Linked DNA regions of Canis lupus familiaris. The protein of the gene in region 2 interacts with the protein of the main gene of each other region in a pairwise test. Links are inferred from orthologs where the notes say so. Each region holds a gene or a part of one and is shown on either strand. Other genes may lie near its edges.

The links.
Region 1: the proteins of melanoma-associated antigen 10-like (region 2) and GCA interact in binary tests that used the Homo sapiens proteins (3 or more experiments, as listed by UniProt). The link is inferred for Canis lupus familiaris from reciprocal best matches to the Homo sapiens genes MAGEA8 and GCA.
Region 3: the proteins of melanoma-associated antigen 10-like (region 2) and BEX5 interact in binary tests that used the Homo sapiens proteins (3 or more experiments, as listed by UniProt). The link is inferred for Canis lupus familiaris from reciprocal best matches to the Homo sapiens genes MAGEA8 and BEX5.

Annotation. Positions count from the first base shown.
Region 1 is NC_049257.1:8,046,343-8,050,597, reverse strand, and holds the start of GCA (grancalcin), read right to left. Parts: upstream 2,809-4,255; 5' UTR 2,643-2,808; coding exon 2,616-2,642; intron 2,089-2,615; exon of another isoform or gene 1,306-2,088; intron 695-1,305; coding exon 530-694; intron 1-529. UniProt on the Homo sapiens protein: Calcium-binding protein that may play a role in the adhesion of neutrophils to fibronectin. May play a role in the formation of focal adhesions.
Region 2 is NC_049260.1:118,690,647-118,694,937, reverse strand, and holds the start of melanoma-associated antigen 10-like, read right to left. Parts: upstream 2,809-4,291; 5' UTR 2,418-2,808; intron 2,217-2,417; exon of another isoform or gene 2,162-2,216; intron 1,852-2,161; exon of another isoform or gene 1,477-1,851; intron 1,364-1,476; exon of another isoform or gene 1,009-1,363; intron 732-1,008; exon of another isoform or gene 580-731; intron 76-579; exon of another isoform or gene 1-75. UniProt on the Homo sapiens protein: Not known, though may play a role in embryonal development and tumor transformation or aspects of tumor progression.
Region 3 is NC_049260.1:76,328,639-76,332,770, forward strand, and holds the start of BEX5 (protein BEX5), read right to left. Parts: upstream 2,809-4,132; 5' UTR 2,616-2,808; intron 2,180-2,615; exon of another isoform or gene 2,064-2,179; intron 1,548-2,063; 5' UTR 1,482-1,547; intron 1,198-1,481; 5' UTR 1,170-1,197; coding exon 831-1,169; 3' UTR 1-830.

The DNA.
Region 1 (4,255 bases), on a different chromosome or scaffold from region 2:
CAATTTTAAAAGTCTGCTTTTTGCTACTCTGTCTCAGCTTCCTCAAGGAGAGTTACATGTAGATCTCTTTTCCTCAATCCTCTTGGCTCAGTGGCCATGCACTACACTGTTTGCCCTCTAAGTGAAATGAACAATGCATCAGGTATCATAGGAACAGACTTCTAAAAATGAAATAATTATGACTACCTTCGTCTCTGATCTCAATTGAAAAAATAGTCTAGATAAGTTTAAAATACAAATTTCTTATACATATAAAATAACACACTAAGTAATAGAGTTGACATTTCTTTTAAATAGCAATCACTGGGACGCCTGGGTAGTTCAGCGATTGAGCGTCTGCCTTTAGCTCAGGGCATGGTTCCAAGGTCCTGGGATCAAGCCCCACATCAGGCTCCCCATGGGGAGCCGACCTCTCCCTCTGTCTGTGTCTGCCTTTCTGTGTCTTTAATGAATAAATAAATAAAATCTTTAAAAAAAATAGCAGTCACTTTCAGAAACTGATATTTGTGCAATATATTTAATATCTCACCTGTCCAGCAACAGCAGTGAAGTATGTCCACATGGGGTCTCCTGCTGAGGAATAACTGTCAGAATACACTGGGTATCCACCAGGGAGAAGGTTTGGCCCTGTTCCTGGCAACGGCTGTCCCATTTGCATCTGCATTCCTGGCATCTGACCACTAAAATTTCCAAACTATAAGAGTGAAAAAGGATAAAGTTATTAGTACACATATTACTTGTTAACTACTAAAGTTGGTTTAAAAGAAAATATTTAGGAGGAGTCTACTGAAAAGCAAGAATAGAAAGAATTATTAAAAGAAACCAAATTCACTATCCCAAATGCTATTAGCTACAAAATCCTACATGTCCTGCATTAGGACATAATTCAGTTCATTAATGTGTCATTCAACATCAAAAGAAGTAAAACAGAATAAAAGAACTCTCTAGGCTCCAACAACTTAATCTAACAGAGGAACACGAAGCACATTTTTTAACTGTTTACCATCATCATCACTGAAATAAACAAAAAACAAAAAAATGCAAAAAAAAATTTCACCTGCAGTCAAACTAAGAAGTAGTATACTACTCCAGGCACATACTTAGAATAATACATGGTAAACACAACGAAATTGTGAACTAGTCATGGGAAACCCCAGAGAGTGCAAACATCTTCTCCACCAGAAAAAAAAATTAATTTTAAAAAAGCAAGACACCAATAAACAGATCAATAAAGTGATTAATTCTAACAACAGTCTTCAAAATTAGTAAGAATACCAACAAAAATAATACACAGCTAATACTTACTGCGCGCGTTTTATGGCCCAGGTACAAGTACTTCCCATTATGTGCTGAGATTTCCCCAAAACTGTATGAGGTATGAAACTACTATGTCCTTTTTGTCACTGAGGACCTGAAACTTCAAGAGGTTTCCTAAATCGGTTAAGGTCAAACACCTACTAAAAAGGAGACCACGGTTCAACTGTAGATAGTCTGATGTTTGTTTCCTGCTGTGGTTTATGCTTCTCTCTACGTTTTTCACTTTGGGACTGGGTATACGTTTTTAATACCTTAGAAAGGCATTTTACTGAGCATTTTTATGAGTCTGGAGGAGAAAAAAGTATCAAGAGTGTTTGTTATTCCGTATTGAACAAAATTCTTGATCTGCATCCTTGAAGGATGAACAGAGATTGCCAGAAGGCAAAAAGAAAAAAAAAAGAATTCTAAACTGGGGGTCGATGGGGAGAGAGAGTCAAAAGGTCGGATACTACCAGGAGTTTGAAGAGCTGCGTGGCTGGATGTGCAAGGGCGAGGTTAGGCAGGAGGTGCTGCAGCTCCAGAAAATGGACTTCAAACTCCAGGAAACGCACAACTAGATTATGAAGCAACGAAGTACCGGAAAGTAGACAGTAAACGTTAAAACAATATAATGGACTATAAAAGCAAACAGAAATAGGTGAGATTCCTTAAAAGTTTCTTCTTTAAAAAGAAGGAAAAAAAGACCACCCCAAGGGACCCGAAAAGGCCAACTGCAGGAATTTTTAAAAAGAGCATAAAACCAAAAAAATAAATTAATTAAAAAAATAAAAAAATAAAAAATAAAAAATAAAAAATAAAAATAAAAATAAAAATAAAAAGAGCATAAAACCACACAAGTTCCAACTCTCCAAGGTGATTCAGGATCAACAGGTCTGTAATAAAGAGTGGCCCTAACCCCGCCGACCTACGATAAGGTCTACGACAGGTTGCCCTTGGTGCGCACGAGAGCAAAAATTAGGAGACTAAATGTCTACATGCGCATCCTAATTTATTCTGCAGCAAATTAGAGGACAGAAAACGAGAAGCGGCCAAAAATTCAGAAAGAGGACGTCCAGAGAAGCTGAGGAAGTGAGGGTCGACCACAAAGTATCACTGGAACTAGCAGAGGGCACCTTTGTTCCTCCAGTCCAGGAAGGAAACTGCCGAAGTCGCGGCCACCGCGGGCTCCGCAAGGCCTCGCCCAGCGGCTCAGCGGCCCCGGGCCCCGACCCCGCGCTGCGCGCCGTCCGAGGAGGCCCCGCGCCCGCCCCGCGAGGCGGCGCACACGGCGGGCCGCGCAGCCGGCAGCCGGCACTCACCGCGCCGCCGTACCCCGGGTAGGCCATGACGAGCCGAGCCGGCGACCCCCGCCGCCCTCTCGCGAGAAGGGCGGAGCTGCAGGTGCAGGGCAGGTGCAGGCGCAGGTGCAGGGCAGGTGCAGGCGCAGGTGCAGGCGCAGGTGCAGGCGCAGGTGAGGCTCAACACGCGCCGGCCCCGCGCGGGACCCCCCGGCGACCGCCCCTTCCCGGACTCCAGCCCCGCCCCGCTCGGTCCCGATTGGCTGGGCCCCGCCCCTCGGAGCCCAAGCGGCCAAATCGCGCTCCTTCCCGCCGTCTAGTCCCACCCATCTCATCTCTGATTGGCTGCGCGCGCCCAGCCCCCTTCTGCTCGGCTCCTATTGGCCGGCTCGGTGGGTGGGGCGAAGCCTGGGCTCCCGGAGCTCAGGCGCTCCCCGGGAAGGCCGCCCCGGCCGAGCTGCTCCTTTCTCCGCGGATGCCCGGGGTCGCCGGGGGTCCCCGAAACCCGAGGCCCGCCAGGCCGGGACGTCTTTTCATCTCCTCCTGCGCTCTTTGGAGCTAGGCTTGCAAATCAGCCTCTGTGAATTACAAAACTTTCCGTTACTCACAATTATTTTTTTTGCGTAGCGTCGGTGTCACATCATCAAAACTTTGAGACCTTTATCGGCCCCAAGGGGAGCCCTTCTGACCTAAACCCCACCGGATGCGGAATTTTACCAAAATACAGAAGGCTATTTGTAGTTTGTTTGGTAGATAAATGGCGAAGAGAGTTGCCAGATTTAGCAAATAAAAGTACAGGATGTCCAGTTAAATTTCATTTTCAAATAAACAATGACTTTTTTTTAATGTCCCGAATATCACACGAGACATACACTTAATAGAAAAAAAAATACTCATTGTTGATATGTGAAAATACAGGGTGGCCTGTATGTTTTCTGACACCTGGACCAATGACCCTCTGGATGGACCTCCTGATTCCATCCACCGAGGGGGCACAGCTCGGTTTTTATCACTTGGTGGAAAGTTTTAACAGTCACTTTAATTTATTAAGTAATAGTAATTGACAGTTCCGCTGTTCTCTGAATTTTGTGGCTCTGGCCTTAAAAGGAGAGAAACGCACACACAGACACATGAAACAACAGGGCAGCTGCAGCATCAGCTTCGGAACAACGCCAGGTGGTATCTCCCAGGAGTATGACGACTGCTAAAATGTTTCTTAAGGATAAAGATGTGGGGGAGAAAAGCATTAGCTGTCTATCAGCAGAGAAACTCAACCCTGCAAAGCTGAGTACTAATGGCACAGTTACACTACAGAGAAAGAACCTTGTGAAACTTGATTTTATCAGGAAGAGGCAGAGAGAAAGGAAGATTGCTAATGCACAAGCCACTCTTGAGAAAGTCTGTGTTAGTTCCTCTAACATGATAAGAAATAATTTAAGCAATGAGGTTAGGTTATTGGAATAAATAGAGGGAGAGGATAAAACCTACTTGATAAGAGGAAAAACATGACTGTTAGAGCATCAAGTGATAACACACCACAAAGCAAAACAAATTGTTCCAAGGTTTTATTCTCATTGATTAACTACATATTCAGAGAAATGCTCAGAAAGGATTGAGTGTTTTACATTTACAATGTGAGTTTAAATCTCTGGTCAGAACTT
Region 2 (4,291 bases):
AAAGGGCCTGGGCCCTCCCCTCTGCCCATCTGAGGCCCTGCTCCTGACACCAGGCCTCTGGATGCTCTGAGACCCAGATACAGAATTTGGGCCTCACCACGTGTTCCCATCCCCCACCCCTCACGTACCTTCCGGGACTGACTCTGGGCTGGGGTGCAGGGTCCCTGGGTCCTCCCTCTGCATCCTCACTGAACATCCCAGCAGGACCTGGCCCCTCCCCTCTGCCCACCTGAGGCCCTGCTCCTGACACCAGGCCTCTGCATGCTCTGAGACCCGGATGTGGCTGTCTGGACTCCCCAAATGCCCGTCTCCTCCCCGGCCCGCGAGGGGCCTTCCCAGACTGTCCTGTGTTTCTCCGTCCTCCCTCTGCAACCTCATGGGGAATCCCAGCAGGACCTGGGCACTCCCCCTGCCCACCTGAGGGAGGCCCTGTTCCGACGCCAAGGCCTCCTGACTCCCGGAGACCCAGATGCCGACGACCGGACTCGGCCCGTACTCCCACCCCCCAAGGGCCTTCCTGGACTCACACTAGGACCCCACCACCTAGAGCACTCCTCTTTTCTCCCTGAGGGTTCGAACCTTTGCCAGGTGACTGCAGGGCCTCCTCTCTGCCCACCTGACGGAGGCACGCGCCTTAGGCCTGTGTCTCAGAGACCCGGATGCGGAAGTGGGGCCTCACCACGTATTCCCACGCCCCCCGCCCCCACGACCTTCCCGGGACTGACTCTGGGCTGGGGTGCGGGGACCCTCGGCCTCTTCTGCATCCTCACCGGGAATCCCAGCAGCCGGGGCCCTCCCCTCCGCCCTCAGCATCTGCTCCCGCCACACCAGGCCCCAGGCTCTCGGGTTCCCGGATGTGCCAGGCCTGCCTCACCCGCCGCCACCATCCGGCCCTGTCCCGCTCCCCCGCGGCCTTCCCGGGCTGACCGAGGGCCCTGACCTCCGCCGGGTCCCCTCTGTCCCCCTCAGGGTCCATCCCTCGCCTCCCCTTAGCCCTTGGACCCTCACCTCCCCCTCAGGGTCTGCTCCCGCCACTCCAGGCCTCAGGCTCTCGGGTTCCCGGATGGGCCAGGCCTGCCTCACCCGCCGCCACCATCCGGCCCCGTCCCGCTCCTCCACGGCCTTCCCGGGACCGACTCTGGGCTGGGGTGCGGGGTCCCCCGGGCCTCTTTTCGCATCCTCACTGGGAATCCCAGCAGCACCCGGGGCCCTCCCCTCTGCCCACGTGTCCTAGGCCCTGCTCCTGACGCCAGGGGCCCCCAGTGCCTCAGGAGGCCCGGATGTGGAAGTCTGAGCACCCATACTCCCATGTGAGTGAGGGCAAGTCCCCATCCCAGGGGGCCCTTATGACCCTCCGACAGGGTTCTCTTTGTCCCTGTCAATGGTCCATCCCTCGCCTCCCCTTAGCCCCTGGACCCTCCCTCCGCCCCCCTCAGCGTCTGCTCCCGGCACACCAGGCCTCAGGCTCTCGCGTACCCGGATGTGCCAGGCCTGCCGCACCTGCCGCCACCATCCGGCCCCATCCCGCTCCTCCGTGGCCTTCGCGGGTTGACCGTGGGCCCTGACCTCCGCCGGGTCCCCTCTGTCCTCCCTCAGGATTCATATCTTGCCTTCCCTTAGCTCCTCAGCCATCGCGTCTGACCACCTAAGAGCTGCTCCTAACACCTAGTCTCTCAGAGACCCCGATGCGGAAGTGGGGCCTCACCACGTGTTCCCATCCCCCCTCCCACGACCTTCCCCGGACTAACTCTGGGCTGGGGTGTGGGGTCCCCCGGGCCTCATCCACATCCTCACTGGGATTCCCAGCAGCACCGGGGGCCCCCCTCTGCCCACGTGTTCTAGGCCCTGCTCCTGACGCCAGGGGCCCCCATTGTCTCGGGAGGCCCGGATGTGGAAGTCTGAGCACCAATACTCCCACGTGAGGGCAAGTCCCCATCCCAGGGGGCCTCACAGCCCTTGTTACCCTCCGCCGGGTCCCCTCTGTCCCCCTCAGGGTCCATCCCTCGCCTCCCCTTAGCCCCGGGACCCTCCCCTCCGCCCTCAGCGTCTGCTCCCGCCACACAAGGCCTCAGGCTCTCGGGTACCCGGATGTGCCAGGCCTGCCTCACCCGCCGCCACCATCTGGCCTCATCCCGCTCCTTCGTGGCCTTCCCGGGCTCACCGTGGGCCCTGACCTCCGCCGGGTCCCCTCTGTCCTGGGCTCCTGGGTCCCCGCCGTGTCACCGCGTCCCCACCGGCACTCCCTGTGTCCCTGCCCCTCTCAGGCCACTGCCCCAGGCCCCGGCATCGAGGCCTCAGCTCGACGTCGCGTTCCCGCCTTCCCCCGCGTGGTCTCTCAGGGTTCAGAAAGGGCCCCCCCACCCCCCGCCGCCCTCCGGGGCCCCTCCCCCGCCCTCGGAGCCCCCTCCCGGGGCTACCTGCTGCCCGGCTGCCGCCGGCCCGGGCCTGGCCTCCTTCCAGGGGACCCCAATGCGCCCCCCACACGAGGCCCTCCGCTCCCTCAGACCTCCGAGGCGGAAGTCGGCCCACGTCACATCCGGACCCCGTGCCAGGGGTCCCTAAGGGCTGGTTGCACGTCCGCGGGAGATGGGCTCTGCGTGGCGGGGGTAGGAGGACACCTGTGGGAGGCTCCCTGGGTCCTCTCGCGGGTCCTCCCTCCCCGGACTCGGGCGGGCTGCGGCCTCGGCTCTCTGCAGACCTCAGTCGGTGCCCCTTACACCGAGCCTCTCAGGCCCCGACGTGTCGTCCCTGAGCGCCCGAGGGGTGGTTGCTGCGGCTCGGGCCCCACCGGCTCTGCAGGTCCCGGGGTGGCCCAGGGCTGCCGGCAGGGGCACAGCAGGGTTCGGCGGCCCCCAGCGTCCTGGCACAGGTCGGCTCTCAGTCCTCACCCAGGAGGCCCTCATCAGGACACAGGCCTGCTGTGCAGCCGCAGCGCCCATAGCCCCGGGGCAGGGCAGGGGCAGGGGCCGGGAGGAAGCGCCCCTTCCCACGGGGTCCCTTGGCCAGCAGCCAGACTTTAGGGACATCGTGTTAAAGGTTTAGTTTCCTGGGGGCGGCCGAGCAGCTGCAAGGGTGTCTAGGGGTGTCCCGTATTGCGGGGCCCACTGCAGGGAGTTTTCCCCTGACATGCTGCGTCATCGGGAGAAACACACCGTCCCTCTCTACCTAGCGTGTGTCCTGTGCACGGGTATGAGTGCTGGCATGCTTACAGGCCTATTTATATCTGTGTGGCCTGTGTATATACTGCCTTTAGGAAAGACTAACTTCTCATACTACTTGTCAATACCCACTATTCTATTCCCGCTCTAGTCTTTATATCCTCTTCTAATAAGTTTTGAAAAGGACATCTTCCCATTGTAAGGTGAATTTTTTTTATTTTATTTTTTATAAATTTTTATTTATTTATTTATTTATGATAGTCACACAGAGAGAGAGAGGCAGAGACACAGGCAGAGGGAGGAGCAGGCTTCATGCACCGGGAGCCCGACGTGGGACTCGATCCCGGGTCTCCAGGATCGCGCCCTGGGCCAAAGGCAGGCGCCAAACCGCTGCGCCACCCAGGGATCCCTGTAAGGTGATTTTAGATAGCTAATGCCAGAATCCAGAAGCATCTGCCTCAAACAATGCCGTGTTCTCTGCTGTCCTGATACTTGCCCAGGGCTACTGGCATGTGTCCTGCCAGGTCATGCATCAGGTTTGTGCCAGGAAGTAGGGGCAGAAGGTGAAAGTCGTTCCGAATCCCCCTGCTTTCCTCTGCATCTCTGCAGCCTACATTCTCTCCCCACATCCCTGCTGCCCCTACATCCCCACCCCAGATACCAGAATCCACCCACACTCTTAAGGGCCCCCCCCCCCCGGGGGGCTTTCTTCTGTGTTGTTCTGATACTGCTGTTCATATTATGTGTGTTTTGAAAGACTTGCCATTTTGTAGAGCACACTTAGGTCCAGGGAAACAGACAGCACTATACACAGATTTCCCACTTAGCCGCTTCCACGCTCCTACATAGTTTCCCTCATACCAACACCCCACCACAGCCACACGCTGCTCATCACTGATGAAGGCCCTCGATTCATCCACATCACACAGAGCCCATAGAACCCGTTAATCTTCACACCTGGTATTTATTTTTATGGGTTTAAACTCATGTATGATGATGTGTATCCATCAGGATAGTATTAGACAGAGGATTTCACTTCTCTGCCTATTGCTTCCTCCCCACACAGCCCTGTGCACCAATGATAGTGTCGTTGTCTCCAGAAATTTCCCTTTATACAGTGTCATTAATTGCGA
Region 3 (4,132 bases), about 42 Mb from region 2:
AGAAGCCTAAGTATAGAAAGGTGTCACCCAGGGGTGCCTAGGTGGCTCAGTCAGGTGTCTGACCAGCTAAGGCTCCAGGGGTGGAGCCCCATGCTGGGCTCCCTGTTCAGCAGGGAGTCTACTTACTTGTCCCTCTGCCCCTCCCCGTTTGTACTCTCTCTCAAACAAATACAATCTTAAAAAAAAAGGTGTCACCCACTTGGCATTTAGACTTGATGATAGACATACTTTTTGGGCCCTTCTCTAAATATGAAGAGCACCTAGAGAGTGTGCATGTTATCTTCATTCATAGATTAATAGGCTGACTATAAAGAAACATATCTGTAATAATGACCAGGTTCGTGCTTCCAAGTAAGAGATTATATTATAAGAGGTAATAGAAGATTCATGTGTCTTTAAATTGTGTCTGAAGCATTTAATGATTGTCTCCATTCCCTTTATAAGTCAATTGGCAAGTTCTTTGCCTCTTACTTTTTGCCTGACATGTATAATACATATGTATTCATTTTGGAAAAATGAGAAAAAATAAGTAATCAAGAAAAGTTAAAGAAGAAACATTCTGATACACACACATATATTATGCATGCTTTTAAATGAGATAGTGTATTTATAGACTGGTTTTTAAACTGCTTTATTACCTTCACACTATGTACTAAACATCTTTCCATGCAAGTTGGTGAAACTCCCCCGCTGACAGAAAAACTTTCAGACTAAGTCAAATGAATTCTCCAATCAGAAAAATTACAGAACATCACAGATTCACAGTAAAGGGTACATAAAGAAAATGCAACTTTGGGAGGCAGGGAGTTTATTATTACTAACCTCAGCATTCAAGGCATAAGGCAAAACTCATCATGATGGTCATGGTGAGGGGGATCCCCTATAAGAATGCGCAAACTGTACCTCAACTGAAGCTCCCTAATTTTCCTCCTTAGCTCTCTCATCTCCTCCATGAACCGTTCCATATCATCTGCATCTCCATCTATCATGTCAAGGTTATTGACAAGCCTATTGGGCATATCCTCTCTCACATCATGGGCAGGCGGGGCCCAATCGGCTCTAATATTTTCTCCAGGCTCCTGGCCTTCACCACCTTCCAAAGGGTGGGCTTCTTCATTCTGCATTGGAGCCTGCTCCTCTCCTTTGCTTTCCTGGGGGACATTTTCCATGTTGAGATTTTTTTCCTGCTTACTCTTCCTAGGAGATAAAAAGCAAGAAAAAGGATGTAATACTTTGTAACAACAGGAGTCAGAGCTCTGTCAGAAAAGGTTTTCTCTCATCTGAGAAACTTCGTGCACCCTCTAGGGGACGCCCCAGACCCAGCCCAGCTCCAAAGCTCACCATTTTCCCCATCAATTTTTCCTTAGGCCACTCCTTGCACCTCTTGCACTTTAACTCCGGCTGGAAGGGCAGTGAGTTTCCCAGATTCTGTCATGATCCCCGATAAACCCTAAACCAGAGGACCCCAAGCAGCCACTTACCTGCAGGCTCAGAAGTAGTCGTTTTCTCTTTGCTTTGAAATCTGCTGCACCAACGGACCCAGAGACCTGCAGACAAAAATGCGACGATGGCCAGGACTGTTCACTTGATTAAAGGACCAGTATTGGGGGGCACCTGCTCTGTTGCTGATTTAGGAATCCGTTAATCAAAGGTTGCCACCTTCTCTTTTTCCTCCATCCTGTATCACGGTTTCTTCTCCTGTCCTGCAATGCACTACTCCGCCCTCCAGAAATAGGCATTGTAATCAAAGATTATTATTTCCAACCAGTTTCACCTCTTCTTTAGGCCCCTTTACCTCCGCCTCAGCCCTCCCGTCACCTGATTAGCATTTCTTGAATGCAAATGGACAACTTGCTGGGCAGGGGAGTCAAAACAGCTTGCTGGATGGTGACCTGGTTTATTTATAAAAAATTTCAATGTAGTTGGGGCCCATTAGACTTTCTGGAACTCACCCTCCTTTCACTGCCCACCATTTTATGAATCAAAATGGACGAAGAGCGAAGAGGTAGCGTGGGTATTGCAAACCTGGACCCGCTGATGTCTAAGCGCTTTGTCTTGCTTACCCCAGGGTCCGCAGGCAGCGCCCAGGCTTACACCTTTCTTGCTCCCGACCAGATCCCTGAGTCAGAAAGCTTCCTCTCGATTACCTCCTCCGCAGAAGGGAAGTGTTTCCCGGACCTAATCCCTGTCCATATCCTCTGCAGCAACCATCATCTCCACCCCCTCCCCCCCGTTTGCCGCAGCCCACCATTTCCCGCTCCAAAATGGACGGAGGTGGAGAACCGATTCCGGAACCGAGGCCTAGACCCGTGGCGGAGTCCGTCATCCCCAGGGTCAATGGTTGCAACCCCGTCCCGTCGCCCTGCAACAATCAGGCTTTTTCCTCGCTGTCCCCTGCCCTGGCTCTTCCCTTCCAGACGCCGGATCGCCCAAGAGATCTGCACTCCTAGGACATCCTAACTGGTACCCATTTCCAACTCTTGGCCCCTCTCGATCTCCTCCCACCAAGCCGTCCATTTCTTGCACCATATAAATGGGTATTGGGTAAAAAGGTCGAGAGAATCCAATCCCTCTCCGGTCTTAGCCCTCTGCCACCCCAGTCAGCGCCCACTAACCTGCAACCGATCAGGGTCAGCTTCTACGACTTCCTCCTTCCCGGTGCTACAGGCTCGCCTGCCTTCAAGGCAATAGCGTGCCGGCGCACAGCCACAAAGGACAACCAGACTGCAACTAGGAGGAGACGCTAACCCACGCGTCAGCTCCAGGTCTCGTAAGGGCCACGTCACTCTGAGCTCAGATACCCAATTATGGTTCCCACCTGCATTGCGGCAAGAGGGTGGGGGCGGGAGTGTGGGCGGGGCCACCTTTTTCTTCATCCCTGCCTTCTCCCCACTACAACCCATCTCTATGTTTTTTTCCTGTTTAGAAGTCTTTAAAACCAAATGCATCATGATATTTTGTAGTTTATATTTGCCTTTCCCCTGATTTCTGCTGCAGCTTTGAAATAATTCTTTTTTAAACCTTTAATTGCCCACTTCTCTCCTGTCCAACTCCCCAGCAAATAAAACCCAAAATTACCCTTAACAGCAATGGAAGGAAGTCTGGAAAATACACAGAAAGTGACATAATTATTTTTTACTTTATTTCCGTTTATTTTATTTTTTTAAGGGAAAGGATGATTAATTTTTTTGTTTCCCATTAGCATGCATTCCATTTTTGGTTGTTATAATTAGACAATACAATTATTTTCAGTTGAAAAGTAGGATTCGAGTTGTAAAGTCTTGATAACCTCCTTCTCCTGCAGAATCACCCTAATAGTACAGACCCTTCAGACATCATCTCCCTTTTAAGGACTTTAAATTAAAAACCTAAGCTGATGGTTGCCTTTGTGAAGGGTCTCTGTGAGGTCTTCCCAGGAGGTGAGGCTCTGAGTCTTGCTGGTGGATTTTCCTATCTGGAGAGCCTGTGACAAACTTACGGTCTCTCCTAAATTATATTACTGCAAATTCACTTTACAAAACTCTACCATGGCCTCTAAAATAGAACAGCACTGAGGTCTTCCAACGATCCAGAATAATAATTTGGGAAAGTTATGCTGACAGATACAGAGTATTGTGAAGCTATAATATTAACACAATAGTATGGCAGAATAGGGATCCCTGGGTGGCGCAGTGGTTTAGCGCCTGCCTTTGGCCCAGGGCGCGATGCTGGAGACCCGGGATCGAATCCCACGTCGGGCTTCCGGTGCATGGAGCCTGCTTCTCCCTCTGCCTGTGTCTCTGCCTCACTCTCTCTCTGTGTGACTATCATAAATAAATAAAAATTTAAAAAAAAACAATATTATGGCAGAATAAATATAGAACAAATAAATAGTAGAGAAGGCCATTATCAATCCCAAATATGGAGAAATATTAGAAATCTGATTGAAATACTTGGAATTAGCAGGGAGAGGTTAGATTACTGAAGGAATGGTGCTGAGATCATTGGTCAGCTATTCAGAAAAAATATTGAAGTGTCTTTTTCCTGTTAAATACAGACATGAAATATCTAGATTAAAGGACGTGAAACCATTGAAAATAGTATATAACAAATGTTATTTTGTATATAATCCTAGGATGAAAACGTTCATTAA